Linked DNA regions of Cricetulus griseus. The protein of the gene in region 4 interacts with the protein of the main gene of each other region in a pairwise test. Links are inferred from orthologs where the notes say so. Each region holds a gene or a part of one and is shown on either strand. Other genes may lie near its edges.

What was found.
Region 1: the proteins of Nt5c2 (region 4) and Nme7 interact in binary tests that used the Homo sapiens proteins (3 or more experiments, as listed by UniProt). The two-hybrid records come from large-scale screens. The link is inferred for Cricetulus griseus from reciprocal best matches to the Homo sapiens genes NT5C2 and NME7.
Region 2: the proteins of Nt5c2 (region 4) and Fxr2 interact in binary tests that used the Homo sapiens proteins (3 or more experiments, as listed by UniProt). The two-hybrid records come from large-scale screens. The link is inferred for Cricetulus griseus from reciprocal best matches to the Homo sapiens genes NT5C2 and FXR2.
Region 3: the proteins of Nt5c2 (region 4) and Mob3b interact in binary tests that used the Homo sapiens proteins (3 or more experiments, as listed by UniProt). The two-hybrid records come from large-scale screens. The link is inferred for Cricetulus griseus from reciprocal best matches to the Homo sapiens genes NT5C2 and MOB3B.

Annotation. Positions count from the first base shown.
Region 1 is NC_048598.1:28,012,529-28,019,792, forward strand, and holds part of Nme7 (nucleoside diphosphate kinase 7), read right to left. Parts: intron 4,073-7,264; coding exon 3,965-4,072; intron 2,309-3,964; coding exon 2,142-2,308; intron 1-2,141. UniProt on the Homo sapiens protein: Possesses an intrinsic kinase activity. Displays 3'-5' exonuclease activity with a preference for single-stranded DNA. Does not seem to have nucleoside diphosphate kinase activity.
Region 2 is NC_048600.1:83,492,314-83,498,808, reverse strand, and holds the end of Fxr2 (fragile X mental retardation syndrome-related protein 2), read right to left. Parts: intron 4,503-6,495; coding exon 4,332-4,502; intron 4,180-4,331; coding exon 4,101-4,179; intron 3,403-4,100; coding exon 3,293-3,402; intron 2,811-3,292; coding exon 2,724-2,810; intron 2,442-2,723; coding exon 2,213-2,441; intron 2,062-2,212; coding exon 1,858-2,061; intron 1,774-1,857; coding exon 1,573-1,773; intron 1,484-1,572; coding exon 1,388-1,483; intron 1,252-1,387; coding exon 1,151-1,251; intron 863-1,150; coding exon 767-862; 3' UTR 172-766; downstream 1-171. UniProt on the Homo sapiens protein: mRNA-binding protein that acts as a regulator of mRNAs translation and/or stability, and which is required for adult hippocampal neurogenesis. Specifically binds to AU-rich elements (AREs) in the 3'-UTR of target mRNAs.
Region 3 is NC_048595.1:107,011,974-107,019,237, forward strand, and holds part of Mob3b (MOB kinase activator 3B), read left to right. Parts: intron 1-2,978; coding exon 2,979-3,181; intron 3,182-7,264. UniProt on the Homo sapiens protein: Modulates LATS1 expression in the Hippo signaling pathway which plays a pivotal role in organ size control and tumor suppression by restricting proliferation and promoting apoptosis.
Region 4 is NC_048596.1:14,585,140-14,593,135, reverse strand, and holds the start of Nt5c2 (cytosolic purine 5'-nucleotidase), read right to left. Parts: upstream 4,679-7,996; 5' UTR 4,620-4,678; intron 1-4,619. UniProt on the Homo sapiens protein: Broad specificity cytosolic 5'-nucleotidase that catalyzes the dephosphorylation of 6-hydroxypurine nucleoside 5'-monophosphates.

The DNA.
Region 1 (7,264 bases), on a different chromosome or scaffold from region 4:
GGCCTAGGCCCTATCCCAAAGGATATGACAGACCCTGCTGACACCCTATGGAAGGCCTCACAATCCAGGGGGAGCAGAAAGGATATGTGATAGGTAGGGTTTTAGTTGGGGGGGGGTGGTAGGGGAGGACGGGAGGGAGAAGGGAACTGGGATTGTCATGTAAAACAATCTTGTTTCTAATCCAAATTTTAAAAAATCTGAAAAAAAAGAACCCCCCCCCACCATCTCTCCCTCCTCGGGTTGGTCCCCTTTCATAAATATATATTCCACTTGACAATGCTAGTGTCTTCTCACAAGCATCACCTGGCTTAAACTTTGGATAAGGCTTCTGTCCCTCCCTGCTCCCATCCCTTCCTGCCAGCTCTGCCAGGGAGCAACAGTGGAGCAGTGTGCTGCCCACTCCTTCCTACTGGGTTGCCCTTTTTGTTTCCCCCACACTTTACAGTTGACATCATTTTCTTTAAAATTTTTTTTTAGTTAGTATATAAAATAATGTGATTCATAGTGACATTTTCATGTCATTATACCCTGTTCTTTTTCACACCCTGCTGCGCTCTCCAATGGTGACTAATTTCTTCTTAGTCTCACTTCCTTCCCTCCAATAGTCTCTGTCTGCTTTCATGACATATATATTCTATTACAATCTCTTGTTCCCCAATCCCCACTCTCTTTAGTCCTCTCTCCTCCATAGTTTCCTTTCTACACTCTATCATCTATCTATCTGTCTATCTTCCACATTTTAAAGAAAGCATATGATATCCATCATCAGTCTAGCTTACTTCACTTGCCATAATGACCTCCAATTCTATCCTCTTTTTGCAGATGTCAGAATTTCACTCTTTGTAGCTGAATAAATTTCCCCCAACAAGCTATCTCTCTCTCTGTGATTTCTGATGTTGTCCAGATCTTCCTGTCTTTGGAACAGAGGCAATCCTTTGTTCTCTTGGCTTGATTCACTTAGTGCATCACCTTGAGGCAGCTTCTCATCCACCTTCACCCCAGATGTTTCTAACGATTGCATTCTTGACTTGGACGGTCTCTGAGCTTTATTTATTTGTTTGTTTGAGACAGGATTTGTTTGCTTAACTGTCCTGGCCATCTTGGAACTCTGTAAGCAAGGCTGGCCTTACACCCAGAGATCCACCTGCCTCTGCCTCCTGAGTGCTGAGATTAAAGGTGTGTGCCACCATTGCCCATCTCATTTTATTTTTATAAGTTGGGATCTCATACAAGTTGACCTGAGCCTCCGTACATAACCTCATATGACCTTGAACTCGAATGCTCCAACCTCTACTTCCCAAGTGCTGGGAAGACAAACATAGGCCACTGCCCCCAGTTTCACACAGTGCTGGGGCTCAAACCCAGGCCTTCAGGGCTTTATCCATTCTAGACATTCTACCAACTAAGCTACATCCCAGCCTTCATTACTCCATTTCAATTAACCACATACACTTTTTATTTCCTATTCATACCTATTATTACCATAATTATTCAGATCATTATTTTAGTAATTAAACTTTTATAAGTTTCAGCCACCATCTTATTCAAGCAGAATAATAGTTCTTCTCAACTTAAGCTAGGATTTCCCACCTTTGCATCTTTCTTTACACTCATTCCTTTGGCTAGCATTTGACCCCAGCTCATCTAACTGGGTGATAATTCAATCTGTCTTTAATCATCAAGACCAAACGACTCCACAAAGCCCTCAGTTTCGCAAGAAAAACTTCATTGTCTTCCGAGTTTACATTGATTCATGCATCATTGCTTCCTCTCTCCCAAAGCCATTCCTATCCATTGGAAGAAGAGTTTATCCTTCTCAAAATAGTCTTAGGCTTTAGTGAGAAACAACAACAACAAAAAAACAACAAAAAAGATAGTGTGTAAAAAACTTCTCATTCCCCTCCCCCCCCAAAATATTCACCTCCCAAGACTACAGATAATCATTTTGTTATTCTAATCATAAACAAATCCTAGATCAGTTGCAAACTATTCAAAAAAGAATGTTATAACATTATATTGGGTCACTGGAAAAAAAGGTATGCTGTGAAAACACAATCAAGAAACAGCAAATCAGAAATTAGTAGCCAAAGTCCCACATAATGAATGATTCAATGGAAAAGATGACATAATTGTTTTCTTACTTCTCTTTCCTACTGCCCAGCTGGCGAGCTGTGTATTGGTCCCCATAGTCAATCAACAGCAGTTGTCGAGAAAAGACATTCACTTTGTTGCCTATAAACAAATCTTCCACGCGCAGGTCGTCATACTTGGTCCGCTTTAAGAAGGTACGACGATTCTTTACATCATGCTAGGACCAAACACAATGAAAAATATAAGTAAAGAATGTTAACCTTACTGGGAGGTAGATAGCTATACCCTTTTACTTTTGACTACACATATAACCGATGAAGTTGTCTGGTGTCTTCCTCTGTCATTTCCCACCTTACTCTATTGACACAGGGTCTCTCACTGAAAGTGAAGTTTGCTGTTTAAGCTAGGCTCGATGGCCAGAGAGCTCAGAGGAGCTGCCTGTCTCTGCTACTCAATATTGGCATCCATCACATGGAATAAGGCCCAGCTATTATGTAGGTGCTTAATGTTCAAGCTCAGACCTTTATGCTTTCACAGCCAGTGTTATTACCCACTAAGAGATCTCTCTAGGTTGCTTAGCTTGTTTTGAGAAGACGTCTTGCTATACAGCTCAGGCTGACCTTGAACTTGTGATTCTGCTGCCTCAGCCTCCTAAGTATTGAAATTATAGTGAAATGTCACTAAGTTTAAGCTGTTCCTATATTTTTAATGTCAAAACTTGTGAAATAATTTGGTTAGACATCTCCAACAAGGTTGGGTGCGAAGGTGCACATTTATAACCCCAGCTGAGATGAGGCAGGATTGCAAAGGAGAAGCTATTCTGGATTATGTGGTAAAATCCTGTCAACCTCATAACTCAGAAAAAAATACCAGCAGAAAGCTATCTTGATATATTAATGAACACTAAGAAAAAAGAATTCCAATAAAAATACATCTTCAGATAGTAGTTGATTACTCCCACACCTTTGTGCCACTATTACACCAGTGTGCCTTGCAAGCTGGCCACCTGTGTGTATCTCAATGTCTATGTGTGTTTCTTGTGCTTTTTTTCTTAGGCTTTTTTTTCTGTTTGTTTTGTTGTATTATGATTTGTTTTTATTTAGTTTCTTAGATGCCTGTTTATATTCTAATGAAGAAAGAAAGACAGGGTGTGATGGGGAAGTTGGGAAAATTTGGAAGGAGTTGGGAGAGGGGAAACTGTAATCAGAAAATATTGTATGAAAAAAATCTATTTTCAACTTACAAAGAAAAAAATTTATCTTCAATTGCAAAATCAAAATCAACCATACCAAAGGCAGTCTTATTCTTCTCCTTGTCCCATAAAAATAATTTTGCTAATTTTTAAGCAAGCAAAGGCTATTTGTCAGTGTGTTAGCTCGTATGTCTGAGCAGACTTCCATGAACTCGCCTGGAAGCCAAAGGTGAACTTCAGGTCTTGTTCTCAGGAGCTGTACACCTTACTTTTATTTGTTTCCTTTTTTGTTTGGGGGAGGTTTTTTTGGTTTTGTTTTAAGACAGAGTCTCACTATGTAGCCCGAGCTGGCCTGGAACTTGCTAGGTAAACCAAGCTGGCCTCAACCAAGTACTGGCCAGGCTTCTGCCTCCTGAGTACTTGATTAAAGATGTGCAGCACCACTCCTGCTTCACCTTAGCTTTTGAGACAGGACCTCTCACTGAACCTGGGGCTTACCCAGTCAGCTAGACCATCGAGCCAGTAAGGCCCACCACATCTCTACGGGAATTACACAGTGCTGGATTACAGGAAGGCACCACCTTGCTTGACTTTTCCCGGCCGCTGAGCATCAGACTCAGGTCCTCAGGCTTGCACAGCCAGCACTTTGCCAACTGAGCCATGGTCCTAGCCCTCATTTACCATTTCAACAGTTCCATCTGCGGGGTAAAACAGAAGCTCGTAGCGTCGGAGCAGTGAGGCGTTGGGATCGTACCACTCTGTAAGGAAAGCAAACCTCTCACTCTGATTCTGTGAAGAAAAGAATTTTATCACTGTCATATAGCACATAAGCACTCCTGTAAGTCATAGAAAAAGAAAATGAGGATTTCCAAATACTGACACAAGCCAATCTTTGCTATTGTAATGAATTATTCTTCTTAGAAATCTGTCCTGCTGGTTTCTGGTCAAATACCCTTGGGTCTTTCAAAGGTGCACTTAATCTTTGTTTCATGGCCATTCAGTGTCCTAATATAGTCAGCAATCTTGGAACATGAGCTCCTGATATGACTCCTTTAACAACATACAGAACACAGTTGTTCTGAAGTCAAGTTTACTTAAAAACTGTCATAAGCTATCAAAGGTCTCCAATGCTACAGATTTTCATATCCCAAACTTGGGGATTTAGCAAATATAGATTATTGTCACTGATGTGGTAAATGTTCCTTCTCTCCTTAGTCATTTTACAGCAGTATCATTTTAGAGAAAAAAAAAAAAAAAGACCCTACTGTTTCTACAAAAGCAGTCACCTCTGAGAAACAGAAGTAAGCCAGGCCTTCCATGTATTACTCTCTGATAAATAAGCACCAAACAGAAGACTGACAAGAATGATCTCCACTATTTCCAAAAGTTTTAAGTATTCTGAAGCTCTTAGGTATGGCCTCTTAGAGTTTTGAGTTAGAGTTTGCAATACAAACTACACACAAAGAAGTCTCCTGCCTGTTATCTTGAAAAGGGAGCCAATTTCTTAAATAACCATGATTCACCTCAATGGAAATTTTTTTAAAAAAACAAAAAACCATAAAAGCAATCATGGAGCGCTGGAGAGATGGGTCACTACCTGCTCTTCTAGAGGTCCTGAATTCAATTCCCAGCACATACATGGTGGCTCACAGCCATCTATAGTGGGATCTAATGACCTCTTCTGGCATGTAGGTGTACAAACAGATGGAGCACTCATACACATGCAATAAATAAGGAAATCTTTTGTAAAAATCATGGAATTGCTACCCACAGATGCAGAAAAATAACTCTCAAGCCAGTACTCCTTCCTTTATGAGGTAGAGAGGTACTCTGAGAGCAAACTGTACTCAAACTTGGTTTACTTTCTACCTCCTGATTCCCTTGTGAAGCACACACCCTGCCCCTTCTTTCTTCTCACACGCATTTGGGGACATAAAGACAGGACATCTAGACTTGGGTTTTGCTGAGGTTCGCATGTCTCTACCAACCCCCTTTTGAAAGTTAATTTCCAATGTGATAGCAGTAAGCCTTAGAACTTTAGAGATGTTCACAGGTTGCACATTAATGAATCGGTGCTGCTTTGGGAATGAGTTGTTACAAAGGGAACTCCCCCACTCATCCTTTTTGATCATCCACTATGGAACAAAGATGCTCATGACATGTTCTTTGAATTTTCAACACTCAGAACAATAAGCCAAATAAATATATCTTCTTTATAAGATACCCAGTCTCCTCACATATTATGTTAAAACAACAGAAACTAAAAGACAGCCTGATATTCTCTCTCTCTCTCTCTCTCTCTCTCTCTCTCTCTCTCTCTCTCTCTCTCTCTCACACACACACACACACACACTCACACACTCCCAGACCACACTCATTTTCAAAACTTTTAAATTTTACTTTTCAACTTCATTGAGTCAAGTCTATCACTTTCTAAGTGATATCAATGCTGAGTACCACTTTATTCAAGGCCTTCATTTTATAGATAACGAAATTGAGTTCCAGAGGATATCCACGACTAGCATAACATTATGGATCTTGTCACGTGACTGAGCCAAACGCAGCACTGCACTTTGCACTTCCCAGCTCTTTCCCCAGTTCTGGCCTTGCAGGAGAACTCAAGCAGAAACTGGTTCTACTAGTACATATAGAAACCTCGAGTTTGTTCTATAATGTGCCTGGTGGTTACAGGACTAATTGTTCACTAACTCTTCATTGAATAGTTCAGTTTCTCTCAGAAATACTTTATAGAAAATATTCAAACATTCCATTGTATCAAAAATATTGTTTTTTAAATTGTTTTATTTTGGGTGGTGGTAAATTGGAATTCAGGCTCACTCACTCACTAAGACCTTGAAGAGACTAAATCGGAAGGAGGTTGGTTATAGAACACTGCTTCCACACAACAGCCATTTCTACTTTAGCCAGAGCAGCTGGGATTACTCAAGCATCATGAGGACCCTGTTGACATTCCCTCATGGAAGGAGCATGCAAGGAGGGTCATCAGTTCCTCATCTGAGATTCCAGTCACTAGATACTTCCTGTGCACCCTCTCCCACTTGCATATAATCCTGGGAGGTGCATATAATCCATATATAATCCTGGGAAGTGTATATAATCTGTATATGATCCTATCTGTATATGATCCTGGGAAGTGTATATAATCTGTATATGATCCTGGGAAGTGTATATAATCTGTATATGATCCTGGGAAGTGTGTATAATCTGTACATGATCCTGGGAAGTGGTGCACACACACAGTAGCAGGTAAAGCGAAAGGAGCTCTGTCTATGCATTTGGGGGAAGCTCAGACAATCAAAGATATTTTATCAAAAACTTGGGTAGCAATTTTCTTTCTAAAGGTTATAATTCAATTGGCTATGTAATGATTTGTTTTATAATTTGAACTTACAAAATAGGCAAGGCACTATTGAAAAAAATAAAAAACACTCATGAATATGAAACTGCTATTAACAAATTATAGATGTGAGAAATTAACTGCTGTGTTTTGGGTTCACACAGAAATCAAAGGCGTTCTGAAAATAACAAAGCCTTAACATTCATATAGTTAATGTAATTTTGTTTTATGGATTTTAAATTTTATTTTACTCTTTAGAGACAGGGCCTCCTATAGCCAAGGAGTGGGTCTGCTCATCTTCCCCGCCTCTAACCTTCTAAGCGCTGGGCTTACAAAGGGTGCACCATGCCCAGCATAAATTTCAAAGTCATATTATACACTGCACTTATTAGTGGTGTATTTGCAAAAAACAGACAGTCTAATGCCACATAGCTACTCTAAAACCAAAAACTAATTATGTCTAGGTTTGCGGAGAAAAACAGTACTGCAGGGACTCTATCAGGGCTTATGATAAAATGACTTATATTTTATTTAAAAGGAATAAATATGTACAGATGAGAAAGCACTTCAGTTCAAGGGTTTCAGGTATTGAAAATAAAGCATGCAAAATTGTTTTCAAATAA
Region 2 (6,495 bases), on a different chromosome or scaffold from region 4:
TAGCTGGGCAAGGAGAATTAAGTATGCAGCAATTTCCATGCATCATCTTCCTGACACAGAATGAGAAACTAAGAATAGAGAATAGACAACAAGAGCCAGGGAGCAGTGCAGGTCAGTCCTAGAGATCCAAACAGACCAGACTAGGGACAAAGAAGACATGGGAACCACAAGGCCATTGGATTTTTTTATTCTCTTTTTAAATACTGTACAGTGAAAAATAAATACGCCTTCTTATCCACCAGACAAGGTTGTTCCCCCCAACTCCCTGGGGGACCTTGTCACCCCCCTTCATACACACCCCTGGTTCTACTCCAAAACCTTCCCCATGCCTCCCACCCACAAATACCCTCACTATCCCCGTCTTCCACAGTGATGAGGCCCCAGAAATGGGGGGTACAGGATGGGAGGAGGGATAGCAGGGGAGCCCCCCTGAACTGTCAAATCTGGGTGGGTCAAGGAGCACCCCCACCAACAGGCGGAGAACGGGGGTGTTTAGAGGTCGGGGCATTAGAGGATAAAGGCACATCCAGTCTGATAGGGAAGGGGAGGCTCCCCTCACCCTGGGGGTGAAGGGTGGACAAGAGGGAGGGGGTGACCCTGTTACACACCCCTCCACTAGCTCCTGGAGATTGGGGGGACCCAAGCTGCTGTGCCACCCCCCTCCCCCGTAGATAAGAGCAGCTCCAGCGCAGGTCAGTTGGACCCATGAGGGTCATGGTGGTGGGCAGCAAGCGAGATGGAGAAAGGAGGGATGTGGACTGGAGGTTTATGAAACCCCATTCACCAAGCTACCCAACTCCAAGGGGGCAGAGAGCTCCCCGTTCTCCGAGGGGCCCTTGGGAAGCCTGCTGACAGAGTCGCCCTGAAGAGGAAACAGGATGAGAACAAAAAGAAAGCAGTTCATCAGTGCACCAGGTGTAGGCATTCCTTCTCACTACAGACACCTGGCGACCAGAGGCTGTTCCCTATCTATCTCCCTTTGCTCTGATTGCTGTGAGGCTTGCCTTCTGTTAGTGCCAGCTCTGCTCCATCCTCAGCTTAACCTGAACTCCCAGACACAGCCAATTCAACAACTCACATATTTCCTAGGGAAGTTTTCTATGTCCCCCTCCAAAAAAAGAATGGGGTAAGCTGTATTGCAACTGCCTACCTTCTGTCCTGAAAGAGAATCCTCTGAGGGTTTCGTGCGTTCCAGAGGTGGCCGCTGGCGGCTCTGAGACTCTGCCCGTGAGATGTAGTCTGCCACAGTCACTAGGAAAGGAGGAGAGGATCAAGACTTTCAGGAATACAGGTATCCATCTCCACTGTTCCCATTAAACCCAACCCTGAGCATGAGGCACCCCACTCTTAGCTGCAGAGAGGCTCTAATCCCCTAGTGTCAGCTGACCTGGTTGGCGGTCTCCGCTGATGGACCCATCAGTTCGATTACCACGATTGCGGCGACGGCGGCTTCGATTCCGTCGCTGGGGTCTTGATTCATCTTCTGTGGAGTAAAGAAAAGTCACACACCCATCCTCTCCTTCTTCACTCTTTCTTCTCACACCACCTCCAGGAACCGCGCTCGCTCCTCACCCAGGCCATTCTCTGTCATGTTAGGACCATCCGATTCCAGGCCTCCATCCATGACTGTCCTGTCTTCATCAGTACGACGGCGGCGGGAACGGCGACGGCGGGCACTTGCTGGAGGGGGTTCACCAGGCTCTGAATCAACTGGGGGCTCTGGTTCAGATGTGTCCAATAGGCTGTAAGGGTTACTGTCTGGATCCTTTAGCACTGAGAGGCAGGAAAGGGACTGGAGTCAGGTGACCACTATTTTCTCCTTTGGGCCCACATACATGACCCCCAACTCTCTGATACCTGAGCTAATAGATGACGAGTTGTATCTTGAGGTAGGCCGGGGAACAGGCGGGGGTCCCCTTCCCCGGCCCCCAATCGGCCGCCTCCGGCTCTCTTCTCCACGGTTTGGGGGATCTCGATCTCGGTCACTGGGTCCAGCTCTATGAAGCTCTTCTCTCTTTTCTGACTCTGTCTCAGAAGCCGTGGATGGGTCTGAGCTGGGGCCTGAAGGGCAGGCAGCACAGAAGGCTTTACTCAGAGATACTGGTCTTGCCCTAGGGGTCCACCACCTCCTACACTCACAAGCACCCAAGCCACAGCTTTCCAAGTTTCCACCCAAACATCTCCTCCTCCACTGCCCCCACGGCTGTCTCACCATAGGCAGGGCCACCAGTCCTCCGGCCCCGGCCCCGGCCCCCATAGCTGCCCCCATATGTTCGGGTCGTGTGCAAGGAAGAAGAGGAGCTTTCATCTGTGGTATAGCCAGCCTTGTCACTGCCACCACCACCACCACCCCGTCCACTCCCAGGAGGACGGAAGCCCAGCCCAATCTGCCGAAGCTGTTCATCAATTTGCAGTCTCTCCAAGCGAAGCTGTTCAACCTCCTGGTTGGAAAGACAGACAACACAGGAGAATTAAAATGGATGGACAGTCCACTCCTTCATGCTTTTCTACCCATATGGCCCCTGTGTAGCTAAGCTTCTGGGACTACAAAAAGGAAGACAAAGACTTAAAAAGAATAGGACACAGCCCCAGAGCCAAAATATCAACCAACAGTCCTGTTCTACAAAAAGACAAACCAGGTAGGACAGCCCCAAAAATTATATACCAGCAGTTCTTGCCCCTTGTTACCCCAGTTTGTCTGGCATGGCTTCAAACATGGGTACCTGAAGGTAGGAGAGGTGGTACTCTAGCAGTGCCTGGGCATTGCTGATATTCTCTCGGGTGCCAACAAATATGAAGGGAACCATTCCCTAGAGAACAGACAAAGGAAAGATTACAAGTCAGTTAGCTATGATGGCATACACACAATCTTAGCACTCAGGAGGAGCAGGAATTCAAAGCCACCCTCAGCTACACAGTGAAGGTAATTAAGCACAACCTAAGCTACATGAAATTCTGTCTCAATGCCCACCCCACCAAATGCCAGGCACGGAGGCACATGACTTCAGTCCCAACACTGGCAGGCAGATCTCTGTGAACTGAGTTTAAGGTCTGTGTGGTTCACAAATTAAGTCCAGGCCAGCTAGAGCTATACAGTGAGCCCCTATTCAAAAAGAAAGAAAATCAGAAAGGAAAAGATTAAAATGTTAAGCCCACTCCTCAAACAGACAACAGGATCAGTCTACCACAGCAAAGGAAAGGTTGTGTGTTCCACCCTCTAGAGGTTCCCAGCCCTCAGAAGAAAGTACCTCCTACTTCTGAAAAACAATTTCTAGGCCTCTGTGCCCCATACCTCCTCCCGGGGGTTCTTCTTGTCGTTATCACCTTCAACACGAACCCTCACCACACCAGACTTATCCACAATCTCCTGGATCACTTTCCCATTCTTTCCAATCACTTTGCCTAAATGAATAACAGAGGAATTGGGCTTTTAATTTTTGTTATTTTCAAAGAAATAAAAGTAAAAGTCTTCTATAGCCACCTCGCTACATATATTGTACTTATTCATTCTCCTGCTTCTAGGAATCTTATAGCTACGGTCGACAGGCGGTGGTAGTGAACACCTTTAATCCCAGCACTCGGGAGGCAGAAGCAGGCAGATCTCTGTGAGTTTGAGACCAGCCTGATCTACAAGAGCTAGTTCCAGGACAGCCTCCAAAGCCACAGGGAAACCCTGTCTCGAAGGAAAAAAAAAAAAAAACAAAAAAAAAAACTACAGTCTATTGGGCAGCGGTGGAAACACGCCTTTAATCCCAGGACCTGGGAGGTAGAGGCAGGCAGATCTCTGAGTTGGAGGTCAGCCTGGTTCACAAAGTTCACAAAGTGAGTTTCAGGTCAGCCAAAGCTGAAGTAAAGAGTGAAACCCTGTCTTGGAAAGAGGAAAAAGACAGGGAAAAAAAAAAAAAAAAGCTACAATCTACAATCCCTACAAATTTATCATTCCCCTTTTTTTCATTCATATGTCAAGACTATTTATTCCATCCTTTTGAAACTTATGAAGTCCACAGAGTAGCACTAATCCTAGTTAGATGCCCAAAATTGTTTTCAAGTCCTGCCATCTTGGCCATAACTATTCCTTTTATACACACACCCAAACTCACCAACCAGGTTCCTGGGTACTTGTACAGAGTCCTCAGAAAATTCCAGGTAGCTTCGAGCTTGTCGGCATGCCTCAGGCGTCTATAGAAAGCAAAGAGTAAACTAAAACAGAACCTGGATCTCTCTGCCATTCGATATTTGGCAGGGAGGTCACCATAGCTCAGATTAGCCTTCCACCTTACCCTCTATCCCCTCAGTCCCCCAAAGGAACAAATGACCCATCTTTGGCTGACCTCCCCATAGATTCGGAAAGTGCAGGTCTCTTCACCCAACTCAATGGCAGTCACTCCTGGCACTTTTCGAGCCTGCTGGATGTTGGCACCATGTGTTCCAATTGCCAGGCCCATTAAGTCCTCTCTCACTGTAAACTCCTCTTGGAACGCTGCCGCCAACTGCTTACTTGTCTGAAAGAAAAGGCATTGTGAAGCTCAGAACATGTGTCCCAGTTGTCTAGTCCTTTATAGTTTAAGCAAGGGGAAAGTATGAAGAAAACCAGAACCACCTGTAGTCTGCTAGCCTCTGAGCCCCGCACAGAAATCTCAGGCACCTTTAATACCAGGGCTTATGGGCAGTGATTAACTAATAAGGGCAGTTTAAGCTAGATGCCATCAAAGTTCAAGATCTGTCTCTAACACTAACTGGTTGAATGGTCCTTAACAAGATACACCCTGTGTGAGTCTATCATCTGACAAGTCCTCACAGCTGACCTACTCTCAAGTTAGCAAGAATACTATTCCTCTTTTGAGCCCTTCCAACTCTCAGGAGTTCACTTTTCACTAATAAACCAATGTTTATTGCTTTAAAAAATTGACAGACAACAGGTGTTGGTGGCGCACACCTTTAATCCCAGCACTCGAAAGGCAGAGGCAGGCAGATCTCTGTGAGTTCGAGGCCAGCCTATTCTCCAGAGTGAGTTCCAGGACAGGCCCCAAAGCTACACAGAGGAAACCCTGTCTCGAAAAACAAAAACAAAACAAAAAATTGACAGACTAGCAGCTGAGCAGTGGTGATGCACACCTTTAATCCTAGCACTTGGAGGCAGAGTTCAAGACCAATCAGATCTACAGAATGAATTCCAGGACAGCCAGGGTTACAACCCCACCCAAAAGGACTAGCAAGAGGGTTAGACAAGGCTGACATCCAAATGGCTTAAGATTTTTTGTTGTTGTTTCTTAAAATTCTTCTTATGTGTATGAATGTTTGCCTGAATGCTCCAGGTTTATGCTTAATCCCTGGCATCAAAAACAAATGACTGGGGGCTGGAGATGGCTCAGCAGTTAAGAGCACTAGCTGCTCTTGCAGAGGACCCAGGTCCAATTCCTAGCACCCACATGGCAGCTATAAACCCACAATTGTCTATAAACTCCAGTTTCAAGGGATCTAACACCTACACATTGATAGGCCAATACACATAGAAGAAAAACAAACAAATAATGAAGAAAAAAGCAAGTTACTGGGCAGGAATATGATCAAACATTGTAGGAAATAACTGAATAAATAAATTGGTGGCCAGGCGGTGGTGACGAATGCCTTTAATCCCAGCACTTGGGAGGTAGAGGCAGGTGGATCTCTGTGAGTTCGAGACCAGCCTGGTCTACAAGAGCTAGTTCCAGGACAGCCTCCAAAGCCACAGGGAAACCCTGTCTCGAAAAACCAATAAATAAATAAATAAATAAATAAATAAATAAATAAATAAATAAATTGCTGGTATTGGGAGGCAGAGGTAGGTAGATCTGTGAGTCGAGGCCAGCCTGATCTGCATAGCAAGTTCCAGGACACCCAGGGCTACACAGACCTTGTCTCAAACACCAAAATGAGTAAATTATCTATGAGTGCTTGCTACACACACATTTTTTTTTGCTGTTTACATAATCAAATTCTTGTTGTTTTGATTTAATGTTTTTTATTTTTATGTATATCAGTATTTTGCGGCCCTGTCTATATACCATGTACATGTTTGTTTTTCCAGTGGGCCAGAGAGGCATCAGTTCCCTGGAATCAAACACAGGTGCTCTGCAAGAGCAACCACTGATACTCTCACCTCTCAGCCCCCAATTATAGGTACATGCTGGCCTTGGACTAATGCATTCACAAGCAGTTTTCCTGTCTCTCCTGAGTATCTGGGTACAGGCAACCGTTACACCCATGGTCTCTCATACTCTAGGCAAATGCTGTACTACTCAGCTGTAGCCCTAACAGTTTTTTTTTGGTTTGGGGTTTTGGTTTGGTTTTTTGAGACAGGTTTCTTTGTGTAGCCCTAGCTGTGCTGAAACTTCCTCTGTAGACCAGCCTGTCCTTACACTACTGAGATCCACCTGCCTCTGCCTCCCAAGTGCTGGGATTAAAGGCTTTGGTCAGCACTGCCCAGGCCCCAACAGCTATTTTAAAGCACTGCCT
Region 3 (7,264 bases), on a different chromosome or scaffold from region 4:
TCAGAACATTGTGGTTAGACAATTCATAAACTCAGCAGGGCTTTGGTCGGTTGCTGGCTTCTGACAGAGTACTAAGACCTCTGGAACAGCAGCCAGGGTTGTGGATGTCTCGCCAACACCCAGCCCACAGACTCACCTCACCCTTGCTCCAGTTCCTGGCCTGCTGGAACCTCGTGAGTGAGTGCCTTGAGTTCTGACCTCTGCCTGGACATGTTCCCTCCTATCATTCTGGAATCTGAGCTCATCCTAGTCGTACTTTGGATTCACGAATTCTGTTTCAGAACTGACCCATTTGTAAAGACCCAAGACACACCACATGAGCCAAGGGCATCAAAGTCCTGGGTTTTTTGTCTGTCACTTCTTTGTAGATCACTCATCTGAATATATTTTCTTCTTGGAATCTTAAATTTTCCCAGCCTTAATCTGAGAGTCACAGGATGTGAGATAGGTTGGGTAGGACAGAGGAAAGGCATATTCTTAATGGAGACTTAGTTCTCAACTGAAAATCACTTAGAGATCTGCAGGTCATCTTTCTCATTTTCTATCTCAATTCTTATCTACCTGTCCAGGATGATTGTCATGCATGTGTCTGGGTTATCATGAAGCTAGTCAAAGTTTAGGTCTAAACACCTAACACATGCAGTCCTCTGCAGTGAAGACTGTGGACACTGTCCTAAGACATGCAGTGTGCTGCTATGGAGACTGTGGGTTGACACTGTCCTAAGACATGCAGTTCTCTGCAGTGAAGACTGTGGATGCTGTCCTAAGACATGCAGTCCAGTGCAGTGGAGATTGTCCTACATAACTTTCTGATTGAATGCAATGAGTGAAGCTTATCTTTCATTACCTGGGAACTTAGACTGAAAGAACAAATGGAGTTAATGATTGAGGAAAAGGGAATTTCAAATTCTTTCTTCCTACCCTACAAGCTAGATAAAGTTGTTCTTCATTAAAACGTTCTCCCTTCTTCCAAAAGCATTTCTCCCCACTGGCAGCTGAGTACCCTAGCTGACCTGTTCCTGGGAGGGCATCTTCTGATGCAGTGAACTTCTTCTCCATGGCCTGCTCTCTCCATCAGCCTTCATTTGCTTGTTAGTGCCCCTGTGCTGTTGAAGAATAAACTTGAAATTCTTCATTATGCTGAACAGTTGAGTGGTGTCTCTCACACAGGCCCAAAGGCAAGTCAAACTGCAAAGGAACCTGTACTTTGGATTTTAGAATTTGATTTGAAATCCCAGCCCCACTGTTGTGTAAAACTACAACCCATACTTCAGAGCCTCTGTTACTCATCTGTGAAATAGGAATAATGAAAGGAATAATGAAACTATGTCACAGGTAAAGATGACATAGTCAACCTTCTGCAGTTTGTCTCATTTGTCTTAGAGGGAGTCCAGTCATATGTATGGGACACTCTTCCGAAGATTCTGGGTCCTCTCTCAACATTCAGTGGTGGTTTAGTGGCCCCATTTTAACATTTAAAGCTCTAAAACTCAAGTAGCTGCCCCTGCCCCATCTTTGCCCTGGGTTTACCTCATCTCTGAATCATGGCACCTGTTGCCACACCATTCAGCCACTATACTGCATCCACATTCTCTCTGGGTTTGTTCAATGTGTTGACTTTGACTTTCAAGAAAAGCTGGTATCCATACAGGGACCTGGAGAGGCAGATCCCATCACAACTGACTGCCAGACAGATTCCATCTCTCCTATTTTGACCAGGAGGGAGGAGGATACCAGGAGATTCCTCTGACAGAACATCTCACAGCAGATAAGTTCCCTAGGTCCCTGTAGAGATAAGAACAGCAAAAACCCAGGCTTCCGAGGACCTGGGGCATCCTTATGGCAAACCTCTACCATGACCTGGAAGCTGGTGGTTATACCTGTCCTCTCTGGACAAGGAAATGTTCCTTGTAACAGTGACCAGATGCCAGAGAGATGGGGTAATCCCCCCACTATGTTCTAGGCACTATAGGAAGACCTTACACATTGTGACACCTTCCCCACCACGTAAGGAAAGCCTTGCTCTGACCCCTCCTATAGAATCGAGAAACCAAAAGTTAAATAACTGGCCCTGATATAGAGCTGATGAAGGGGACTGAGCAGGAATTCAAACAGTCTGTTTATCTTTGAAGTTCATTACAATGGACTTTCTATTCATGGCAGGGTAAATAGCAAGAGTGTAAGTAGCTTTTCAGAGAGAGACGAAGTGCCATCCATCCTGCTGCCTGATGCCTCAATCCCGCTGGACGTTGTGGCTGGGAAATTTGAGGGACTCTTCCAGCCACCTCCCCTTTCTCCATTATGAAAGCATAGCCCCTCAAAGAGATGGAGTGGAGTGAGTGGTGCTGTGCTGTCTGTGAATTGTCCGCCTTGGAGGCAACACCTTGGGAAACACTTCCAATCAAAATTTGCAAATGGGTAGCTTTGTGGGATGCATCTAATGCAGAGAGGTGTTTTGTTTCAGCAGCAAGAATTTTTAAAACTTCAGATTACTTGTTAACTTTTTTTTTTTTTTTGGTTTTTCGAGACAGGGTTTCTCTGTGTAGCTTTGGAGCCTGTCCTGGCACTCGCTCTGGAGACCAGGCTGGCCTGGAACTCACAGAGATCCACCTGCCTCCCGAGTGCTGGGATTAAAGGCGTGCGCCACCAACACCCGGCTTACTTGTTAACCTTTTTTAAAAGACAATGGGTTTACACGATTTCCGAAATTACCTTGAAAAACCCAAAGTTCTGATACCCTGTGTCTCCATCCCGCTCTGGCCCCTGGTGGCTGGAGTGGAGCACTTGGCCCTGGAAGTGGGACAGTGCTTTTTAATCTGCTACCATCCTTTTTCCCTTGGGTTCTCTGTGCTGGTAAGAAGTACCAGGTTCCCCTCCCCACCACAGCTTCCCCCAGACACCATTTTTCTCCTCTTGGAGGTAAGGGTGGAAAAGATCCTTCCTAGTGGCTTCATACCTTTTTCTTTTTGTTCCTCTAGGCGTTCCCTTCCCAAAGAACTTCCTTCAGATCTGCAAGAAGATCCTGTGCCGTCTTTTCCGAGTCTTCGTCCATGTCTACATTCACCACTTTGACCGGGTCATTGTGATGGGTGCAGAGGCTCATGTCAACACCTGCTACAAACACTTCTATTACTTTGTCACAGAGATGAACCTCATAGACCGCAAGGAGCTGGAGCCCTTGGTAAGTGTCTCGGCAGCATAGCACCATACGCTGTGAGAACTACGGAAAGCTGGGGGGTAAGATGGAGCTGCAGAATTAGACAGGGCACAGTGATCGGCAAAGGACTGGGATGCATCAAAATGTCTACTGCAACCAGGTAAGTGTTTGAAGTTGCTCTCCAGGAGGTGAGATTGTTAGACCCGAGAAAACTCAAGTATCCGGGGTCCCAGGCCACGTTCGCGGTCACCCCAATCACCAGGCGGATTCGAGAGCTCGCTGCAAACTGCACGAGGCTTTATTGTAATTTAACGAGCTAACCCCATGTTAGCTCGGGTCTTTCACCCACCCACCACGGTCTTTCACCCACCCACCACGGCGGATGGCTCGCAAAAGACGGCTCCTAGGGGCTCCCGAAAGATCTTATAGGGCAGCGTAAGGGGAGTGTCTAGGGGTACGCACAGGCTCACGATTGGTGTGCTTCCAGGCTTGGAGGGCTTGCCCTGTGTTGATTGGTCAACTGGTTGTTATGGCCCATAGGCCCTCCCAGGGTGGTTGCTACGCGCTTGTCCGTAAAGCACACCCAGGGTCGTAAAGCATAGCGCCACCAGCTAACTTCTGATTGGTTCCTTGTCATGAGGCAGGCATCTGACTTTCTAGTTTCTAGGACAAGGTCATAGAAGCACGCGTTCGGCCATTATGGCTACCAAAAGGGAAGCTGGTCCCTTCAAGATAATGTGGTGACATTATTCCTACATAATGATTTGGGCCAGGGAAGCTAGATTTAATGCACAACACTGAAAAAGAAAATCATTTTGTCAATTTCTTAGAGACATCCTCTCCCTGGATTTTGTTTGGTTTTGGTTTGGTTCTTTGAGACAGGGTTTCTCTGTGTAGCCCTGGTTGACCCAGAACTTGATCTGTAGACCAGGCTGGCCTCGAACTCAGAGATTTGCTGGCCTCTGCCTCCCAAGTGCTAGGATTAAAGGTGTGCACTACCACTGCACAGCTGAGACACTTCTTTGATCTATCACTATTAGTCAGTGATGGTCAGAAACATTTATTTCCTTAGTCAGTAAGTAACCATTTAACACCCACTGTATGTCAGCTGCTCAGCACACAGAGAGAAGCAAGTCCTAAGGAAGAGCTCTGTGTCATGGGAAATTTGCTATTTATATTGAATCACCTGGGTAAAGCCATCATAGGTATATCATTTGAGAGTAAGAACATTTGAGATTAAGCTGTAACTTTGTTATATTGACGAGTGGAGTATGAGTTCATTTTATTGTTTTCAAAAGAGATTTATTTTTATTTTGTGTATGCTTGTTTTGCCTGCATGTATGTTTGTATACCATGTATGCATGCAGTGCCTATGGAGGCCAGAAGAGGGTCTCAGATCTCCTGGAACTGGAGTTACAGGTGGAGCTGCCATGTGGGTGCTGGGAATCGAACCTGAGTCCTCTGAAAGACCAGCAGGTGCTCTTAACAACTGGACTCTCCCTCTATCCCCTGCTTTTATTTTCACTGTTGGCTTTAGTATGTGCTTCAATCAAGGTCTCTGAAAACCTTTGTAACAGGTTCACTGTAATGAGGATGCTTGCCTCACAGCTGTCCCCAGTGAGTACCTTTCTACCCGGTAGGATACATTGCTTTATGAAGTCATGGTTTCTTTTTCCTTAAGAAAGTTAAAGTGTAGTTTTGCTAAATATAGTTGGTGAAGTAAGTTTCATCCAAGTCATTTTGAATATTGACTAAAATACAGGGCCTAGCTATCTGCTCTACTATGTACCCTTGTTTCCTTGTCTATACAATTGAAATAATGTTTTATTATTATTTGGGTACCTGATGTCTACAGCTCATATAACTACCACTGAAAAGATACTGTGTTATATTCACATATCCCTACAGTGAGATCTGAGCCCAGCTATGTGAAGAAGCAGCAGATCAGGGAGGAACCAGAGTGGACAGAGAAACGGTCATAGAGTATACTCATTGGGAGGCTGTCAGCAGGCTTGCAGCACACGGGCTGTTCCAGTCTTCTGTTACTATGGCCTGCCATCTTTGTTCTGATAACCTAACGTGGGAGGTGGTTGGCTATGGGCTCTAGATTGTCTGGCTGGGTTATACTGGCTGTGTGTGAATAAGACATGAGTAAACAGTTTGCCACCTCAGATATTAACTAGCTGGTGTGGTGTATGGGGGATCCCACTCAGGGTCAGCAAGGTCCCAGGGATTAAAGAAGCAAAATGCAAAACATAAAGATTAAAATATAAAAGACATTAGCTATACATATACTGCATCTATACCTATTAAAGAATATGTTGGTGAATCTTATGTTACCTTTAGGAATTTAATTCATGGTCTACAATTGCACCAATGGAATACACAGCAGTTTGTTTTGCATACCATTGTGATGTCTCTCACATCATTGGTTAAAGAATAAGTGGTATCTTCACTTTCTTTCCATTAGGTTCGTAGAAAGAATTTGGGGACAGCCCCAAGTAATCTCTGAGCATCACTGTAAGACTCACATGGCAAGAAACTTAAAGGCACTGGTGGTGGGTTTGTTAGTCTGTTCTGTACAAAGACTGCTTGAGAGTGTAAATAACCACCATGAGAGTAAAGGCTGTACAAACAACTCAGGGGAGTGTAAACACTGGAAACTGTTGATAAAGCTAATCTCAGAAAATGTCAAGGACAGTGGAAAGAGAGGGCCTTTAAGTGAAGAGATACAAAGCACTTCTGTTGGGCCATGGAGTCAAGTTCCCATCGGAGTCATGCCCAGGTAGATGGAACAAGTCCCCAGAGGCCACCAGAAGTAAGAGCTCCACTAGATGCTCACACTTTCAGTGTTGCTGAGTTAGCAAATAAACATTAGCTGGATAGGGCTGAGCCTCAAGTCGTCCTTTATACACAGCCACATAATGGCTATTGTGGGGGGAAAGCCCGGGGCTAAGTCAGCCTTTCTTTGCTAGCTTAAAACTCTATGTTGTGTTCTGTTACTGAAGAAAGGCCCCAGGAGCTGGAGCACCTGGTAGTGCCGGGAGCTGCCTTGCAGTCCCAGCCTCACTGCCAGGCCCTGAATAAGCCAATATTCTACTAAGAAGTTCTGTTGGGGGCCTGGAAGAAAATCCATGATTATCCTCACTGGGAATTGTTAGCAGTGGAAGTGACAAGAGAAGTATTGGGTACCCTCCCTCCAAGTTTGTATTTCTTTAACTCGTACTTAGATTTGTTTTCTTCCCACATTGATGTTTTGTTGATCATGGTGACCGGAAAATCAATTGTAATAGGTAGTAGTAAGTAGTCTTAAAATAATTATGTGAAATTATGCGTTTGGCTTGGTTATACAAACTCAAACCTGTAAATCACAGGACTGGATACTGTGACTGTTTCTGGGATAATGATCACATGATGGCCAGGCACGGCGATACATGCATGTAATCCCAACACTCGCATGCTCGGGAGGACTGCTGCAATTCTGAGTCTATCCTGATCTGCACAGACAGTTCCAGGCCAGTCAGGGCTCCTTAGAGAGAACCAGCCCCAAAATAGTAACACCAGGGGCTGGAGAGATGGCTCAGCTGTTCAGAGCATGGACTGCTCTCCCTGAGAACCCTGGTTTGATCCCAGGACCTTCTTGGCAATTCACAGCTGTCTGTGACACCAGTTCCAGGAACCTGGACAACCTCTTCTGGTTTTTGTGGGCACTAAGTATGTACACGGTGCACAGACATGCAGGCAGGGAAAATACCCATACACATAGAATAAAATAATTTTAAAAACCCACAACAGTTATACGGTGCCAGGCCCAAGGGCTTAGCATATCCAGTGTCACTAAGAGTGTTGTACCTGTGGATTGGCACTAATGATATTGTGTTCATTGATATCTCAATATTAGACTCTGTGTCTAATGTTGCAAAGTTGCAAAGAACATATTGCAGTCAGAGCTAGCATAGCAAATCAGTACACTTAAATTTGTATTTTCTTACATTAATTTATTGTGGGGGGAGTATGCTTAGGTTTAGATGTGCATTTGTTTACGTACTTGCAGCTGCACACAAGTGTACACACATGTCGGGGGCAGAGAACAACTGTGGGAGTCAG
Region 4 (7,996 bases):
CTCACAAGGCCTCACTCCAATATAAAGTGCTACAGGGAATTAATGGTTGCTAAGAAAGTCAGAATTCATCTTCTCTAGGGATGAGCTTCCTGACAGGTTATCCAATTCCAAGTAGTCAGCTCTAGGCACATACAGATATGAGCAATACCAAATGAACTCATCAGATTATATTTCTAAATCGTATATACACATATATGTAACACTAATAAAGAATAAGAGACTGAATTTGAGAAAGTAGGTGCACTGGAGGAGGGGGTAAAAGTAGGATTATATACAGTACTCATATATGAAATTCTCAACAACAACAACAAAAAAAAAAGAAACGTTAAATAATTATACCTCAAAAAAAGTACATTCCACTTGTCATTTCAAATGAAAACATGCTAAGATTTAAATGCTTATTTGCTTTTTTGAGACTGGGCCTGGGGAATCCTAGGTTAGCTTTGAACTCCATTAATAGCCAATGACCTTAAACCTCAGTCTTCTGCTCTCACCATTGCTGGCCTCACTTTTTTTTTTAAAAAGACATTAAGTTTCAGGTGCCATATTTCCCAAGTAGATTCTGTCACACAGGCTTTCTCATGTGACATTCCTGGAAATGGTTCCCAGCCAGCAAAGACACACTAATGGTAAAACAAATAGTTCATTAGTCTCCAAATCAAATTCATCTTTCTGATTCTGTATTCAGCATAAAAAGGGGGAGTATTTTTGCTACTCTGCTACTATGGGGTTTTTCTGTTAATGTTGCTGCATTTTTGTTGCTAGCTATTTTCTGAAAAACTTTGGCAACAATTGCTATAGGATACAATCAAATTTCAATCAATAAAAGTTACATAAAACAGGTCATGTTGGCCCTCACCTGTAATCCCAGCACTGCAGAGGCTAAAGCAAGAGACTAGAAACTACTGAGCCGCAGTCCTGCTTAAGATAGTGAGACCCCGCCGGGAGTTGGCGGCACTCGGAGGCAGAGGCAGGCGAATCGCTATGAGTTCTAGGCCAGCCTGGTCTCCAGAGTGAGTGCCAGGTTAGGCTCCAAAGCTACACAGAGAAACCCTGTCTCGAGAAAAAAAAAAAAAAAAAAAAAAAAGTAATTTAAGACTTAGTGGAGCTGGAGAGATAGCTCAGTGGCTAAGCACATTTGTTTGTTCTTTGGGAGAACCTGAGTTCAATTCCCATCTCCCACATGGTTCACAACCCATATGCAACTCCAACTACAGAACCAATGCCCTCTTTTGATACTGATAGGCACCAGGAACACAAGTGGTGCACATATACACACACAGGCAAAACACACATAAAATATGGATAAATCTGGAATAAAAACAAAACACACATAAAATATGGATAAATCTGGAATAAAAATGTTTAGAGGGTCATTTTAGTACTCTAGGAAGATTTGTTACCAACTTTATTTGGGTTTGAACCTAAAAAACTCAACCCAAACCAATAAATAAATAAATGGTTCTCTTTATTCATTCTGCTCTAGCTGCAAAGACTCCAAGTAGCACTATCCTGTAAAGAGCTTTCCAGAACATTCTGGCTTTATCTCGTACTACTGCCCCTAAAATATATATGTAAGGCTGCCTGTCTCCTGGCTGAAAATACAGTTTTGCTACTGACATGTCACTTAACATATGCCTTGTGATAGCTAACATTTCATGTTAGTAGATGTTGTCATAAAAGCTAAAAACATCACATCAACAAAAATTTACTAGAAGCATGTGTGCCAGGCACTGCCTACTGCCATGCATAACGGCCTGTTTCAAAACATCCACAAATGAACACTAGATGAGGTCCCTAGAAATGTGGGCAGCCCAGTAGCAGTATATACACAGCAATCATCACTAAATAAAATTTGAGATCACCCATGGGGACCCACTTTACAATCCAAGGACTTGAGGAGTTTATGTTAGTCTGAGGCCAGCCTATGCTACAAAGTGAGACCTTATCTCAAAAAGCTAGAAACAAAAACCGTTAAGCATAAATACCATGATAAGATTTAAGCAGGTTGTTTTTGTTTTGCTTTCACTGAGTTAAGCCTTTGGAAACAGTGAAGCTGTTAACACACAACCCCTTTTTTTTCAAGCCCAGGCAAGCATGGTGGCTCATGCCTATAATCCCCATACTTTGAAGAGCTGAGGTACAAGGATCCCAAACTGGAAGCCAGACTAAACTCACAGCCAATTCAAGGTGCGTGGGTGGGTCCTGGGCCAGGGGAAGAGTGGCACAAAATGAGCGGCTTAATGAGGCTCTATCGCAAAGTAAAATAAAAAAGGCTGGGATGCAGTTCAATAGTAGACTGCTTTTGCGTAGCCTAAGCTTAGCCCCGAATTCATCTCAGTTCCCAGCAGAGAGGGTTTTGGTGTTGTTTTGTTTTGTTTTTTCGAGACAGGGTTTCTCTGTGGCTTTGGGGGCTGTGCTGGAACTCAACTCTAGACTGGCCTCTCTGCCTGCCTCTGCCTCCCGAGTACTGGGAAGAAAGGTATGCGCCACCAATGCCCGGTTGTTGTTTTGTCTTTCAAGGCTGGGTTTCTCTGTAGCTTTGGAGACTGTTCTAAAGCTCTCTCTGTAGACCAGGCTGGCCTGGAACTCACAAGAGATCCTCCTGCCTCTGCCTACTGAGCGCTGGGATTAATTGTGTGCACCGCCACCACCTGGCTGAGATCTTACACACTTTTTTAAAAATCATTTTTGGACTTTTTTGTTGCTGCTGCTGCTGTTGTTTTTTGAGACAGGGTCTATAGTAGTCCTGGCTGTCTTGAACTTGCTCTGCAGACCAGGCTGGCCTTGAACACAAAGATCCACCTGCTCCTGCCTCTCCAGTGTACCACCACACCAAACTGAGATGCTAAGGCTTAGACACAGGCCAAGTGGTGTGTGCCCCCAGTACTCTGAAGGCTGAAGCAGGATTTTTAGGACAACCTGGAATGCATAGCAGATACTATATCATGGAAACCCCAAATAAACAGCAATAACATAAACAACTTTTTCTAAATACCGTATTTTGTATACTACTTTCTTCACACAACAAAGTTTTGTCACATAAAAGAACACTCCACTTCTTAACAGTCCCCCATAATCTGGCTTTCTTCAGCAAGATGTCATCTAGTAAGGCCAGTAGACACTCTAAGTATCTGTATTAATCTTCTTGAAGTTATAAACTTCTGGCTGACTGTACATTTTCATAGAACAGAACCTTGAAGGACATTATCTTATTTTACAGATTAGCTGGTTCTAAATTCTAGGTTGAGAATAATACAACAACCAATACTACTGAATTTGTCTTTTGCTTTCGTTGAGTAAATGTGAAGCAATAAAAGTATTTTCAAACCCAGGCATGGTGAAACAGGCCTGTTAACACCTGCACTTAGGGAAGCTGAGAGAAAGATCCCCAGTTCGAGATCACTAGGATACACAGCCTGTCTAAGGCCCACAGAACAGGTTCGTGCTGTAATGGAAATGCTCTTACAAAGTATGTGTGGCATAATCACTTTGCCACTGTAAGGCACCCGCAAAACTATTATTTTAATTTCGAACTAGCTGGCTTCTTGAACTGATCCCCCGAGCCCAGATGTCTTCATTTGGATAAATTCTGAAGCATCGATGAAAAATGTAAGGTGACTACAGCAAAGACCTGAAGCTTCTCCTGTCTACGATAAATGGCACTGTTTTAACATCCTCCCCTTCACATGCCGGCTACAGGAATTTGCATCCCTAAGAAAAATTAATAGTCTATGGTCATTATGAAACAATGTGCGGACCGGCGCGCAGGGACACGATGGGGCACACGCAACCGTGTTTGGTGACTAGTCATTCCAGAGCGCTGCGTTAGCACAGCCACAACCGCCCAGGCTGTGAAACAACTCCGACTCGAGCCTTCGCCTGCTGCCTGGAAAAGCCGCGGCCGGCCGGGCGAAGCCGACCGTCCAAAAACGTTCTTCCTCTAACAGGCCCCACGTCGCCCCGAGGGGCTTCGGGGGGCCCAGGAAACAGGCAAGGGACACACCGTCCCCAGTCGTCTTTGGGGGACGACTTGCAGACGCCGTGAGCTTTGCAGGAAGTGCCGCACACCACAGAACTGCCAGGCTCGCAGGCCATTCGGCGGGCAGGTCCAAACCCCGCCAGGCTCGCAACCTCGGGAGAAGCCCCCGGGAGAAGCCCCGCGCCCGCCCCGCGAGGAGAACCGAGGCGAGGCTGCCCGCCGAGCCGGGCGACGGGACCGACAGCGCCGCCGGCCCGCTCCGTGAGAAGGCGGGGTCCCGGGAGCCGCCGCCGGAGAAACAATGGCGCGAGCGTGACGTGGGCCGGGGGCGTCGCCGCCGCGCGGGAAGGGGCTGCGGCCGGCCGGGTGAGCTGGCGGGCGGGCGGCTCGGGGCGGGCGGGCTCGGGGCGGGGGCGGGGGCGTGCGCCACCCCGGGGTGCTGAGGCCGCGGGCCGGCGCGCGCGCGCGCGGATCCGGGCCCGGGGGGGGCCCTGCGGAAGGGACGCCCGGGCGGGCGGCAGGGCCGCGGGTCGCGCGCTCAGCGGCGCATGCTGCCCAGCTCGCTCGCTCGCCGTCCGCTCGCCCGCGCCCGCCGCCTCCAATCCCTCTCCCGCCCGCGCGGGGTCGCCGCACTCACGGCCCCGCCGCACCGCAGCAATCCTAGCGCGCAACCGCGCAGCCGCCTCGGCGCGCGCCCTCCCCCCCCCCCCGCCGCCCCGGCGCCGCCCCCAGCTCGCGCCCGGCCAGGGACCGGCGCTCTGTTCCGTACTCGGGCTCTGCCGCAGAAGCCGGCCGCCGCTGATGCTCTCCGGAGGGAGGGAGGACCTGCCTCAGACCCTCGGAGGGCTCGGGGAACTTGTAACCACAGAACCCCGGTGCTTCCGAGCTCTGGGGGTGATGCACGTAAAGAACCTGACCCTTTCCTTTGGGTAACCACCGCTGGGCGATTTGCCTGCGCCCTTCAGCGGAGGGCTGGCTACCCCGCCCCCGCCTACTCTGCGGATGCTTTCCTGAAGGTGGAAAGAGTGTCCCTTACTAGGCCTAGCTGCCCAGTCTTGTAGACAAATGAACCTGAGGGCCTCCCTGGCCAAACCCTCTCCAGAGAGCCTTGAACTCAACTCCGTGGTAACCAAAGGGACCAGCTTTGGGGTTTATCAGAATGAGTTCAAATCCTAGTTTCACCACTTACCAACAGAGTGAACTTGACCAAGGAATCTGACTACACGGAGTTAACTTATCAAAGACCATACTAATAGAATAAAATAATATACTACGACTCCGCAATGAAATAATGTATGACTCCAGGCTTAGTTCTGGCTCGTGGCAAACAACAAAGAGCAGTGGTTGTATAGACACGCATTACCTCACTTCACCACAAGACCCATCAAAGACAGGGAGTCCACTATGTCCAGAACATTGCATTCCTTAGTCTGGGCAGCTCTGGAGTTCCATCTCAAAGACCATATTCTAGCCCAGGAAGCCTGAGAACAAACTGATCTAATGGCTCTTGGACCCCGGACTTTGCCCAAAGTCTTCTTTGAGTTGGGATACTTGATCCCTTCCATTGTTTTTATTTTTCCTCTATCCTAATTCTGGAGTTCTTTGTCCTTCTCTTTGGGCACTGGCTGGTTTGATTGTGATTCCTTTAAACCCTTCTATCCAGGACTAAGTCGAGTTTTGTAATACCACCGTAATCAAGCAGGACTGTGGCTTCTACTTTGTAACGGAGCATTGCGTTTGTGCAGGAAAGTTACTGGTGCATACTGAGTATGCTGGCTTGGCTGAAGTCCTAGCTAGTGGAGATACTGGGATCCAGGCACGAGGCTTGCTTGAGCTCAAAACTTGATTCTAACCTGAACAACATAATGAGAGGAAAAAGAAGAGGGAGAGAGGAAGCAAAAAAGGGAGAGGGAAAAGCAAGGCAAGCAAAGAGGAAAGACAAAAAGGGAAGAAAAAAAAAAAGAGGTTCTTGGCAGACACACCACTGACTCATATTAAACTTGCAGTCAACTGCCAAGTCCTTTTAGTAAGGGCTCCACTACAGCTTTTACCTACCCCCTCCTGAGTTTTTCATACTGGGCTAGGTCAGCTGAGGATAAACCCTGGACCTTTCACCTACTAGACTTTTCAAAGTGGAAAATAATATAAATTAGTTTCACATCACCTTTAAAACAAGTATATATTTTTATAAAGCCTGGTTTTGTAGGCCTGGGGTGGTGGCACATACCTTGAATCCCTCTCTGGAGACAGAGGCAGGTGGATATCTGTGATTTCAAGGCCAGTCTGGTCTACAGAGCAAGTTCTGGGCCAGCAAGGATTACAAAGTAAGCCCCTGCCTCAAAATAAGTTAAAAACTGCCCAGTTTTGTGACTAAAGACTCGTACTTAGCTGTCTACCCACGTAAAGTGATCACAAGAGAAAAAAGAAGCAGAGTACACACAAAGACCTACAGAGAAGTTTGTAACAACTGGGGACTCCTTTTTCTGTTTGACTATTGGGATCTTTAACACAGGTTAGCCTCAAACTCATAGGACTCTTCCTGCTTGGCCGGAATTATACACAAGGGTCTCCATGTCTGACTTTCCTTTGTACTTCTTCACAAATTTTCCTACATTGTGTTACTTTTGTAATGAAATCCAGGAGGTTGGGGTGATGTTACTACTAAAGCATGGGGTCCTGAGTTAGGCTCCCCAGCACCCACGTAAAGCCAGGATGACTGTGTTGCCTATAATCCCAAAGCCAAGAGATGGAAACATAAGGATGCCCTGGGCGCCCCTGGCCAGCCAGTCTAGCCAATTAGTTAGCCCAGGTGCAGTGAGAGACCCTATCCCAAAATATTTGGTGGAAGGGTCTAAAGAGATGACTCAGCAGTTTCTAAGAGCACTGACTGCCCTTCTAGTTATGGCTGTAACTCAAGTTTCAGGGGATTTGATGTGCCCTTCTGGTCTCTACTGCCAATGCAGGCACCTGGTACAAAGCAAAACCCCCACACACATTTAAGGAACTTTTTTTTTTTTTTTTTTTTTTTTTTTTTTTTTTTTTTATTGGTAGAGGGCCTGGAGAGATAGTTCAGCAGTTAAAAGCACTTTACTCTTCTAGAGGACCCAGGGTTGGTTCTCAGCATCTGCATGGCAGCTATGTGCAGGTTAACACATTTTTTTTTAGTTATGTAGACAACCACACGTGTATATAAACAGGTGCATAAACAGGTGTGTGCACTCACACACATTAGGTCTGTATACTTATTGTCATCATGTTGCTGCAGCTGCAAGCCATGAAACACAAACCACAAACCCAAGAGAACAAAGGGAGGGGTAGGTAAGGGGAAGGGGGGAGGGATGAACAGGTGGCAGGTGCTCCCTTGAAAGGGAAATGTCTCTAGCCCCTACCAGGTTTTGACCTGGGAGGAATGACAAACTCAGCGAGTTGGTTTTGAGTATATAAGTTTTACTTCACACTTATGTCAAAGTAACACACAAGCATAAGCAAACCATCCTAAGAACCACAGTCAATAGGCTTGTAGTAGGGGGCACCTTTCCTGCAGCAGCCTGCAGGTTCGGGCTCCAGACTTCTGTTCCTCTGGATTCAGGCTGTCGAGTCTCCTGAGGGCCCGGTGGTATTGGGTTGATGGACTGGTTGTTTCAGGTTAGTGGAGGAGAGCTCCAGCACATAGGGTCATGGTACACTCTAAAGCTCCCAGTTCTGAGCTGGTTCTTAAATAGTTTGCTAAATCTTGCTAATCACACTTTGCCACACTTCACCCATTCTCATTCTTATCTACAATGGCCGGGTAGTGGGCCTATACTCCCTTTCTTTTAATCGTCCTTCAGCCAGGCCTTTGCCTGCCTGGTTACAGAGCTCCTTACAGGAAAGCTTGCACATTTGTACAGAGTTGAGCTGTCTAAGTATCTGCCTGAATGCTGGTATTGCCAGTTACCAGGTGGCAGGGTCAGCATAATGCGTGAATCCTTATACCTATACACACACAGGTCTATACACCCACACACTTAAACA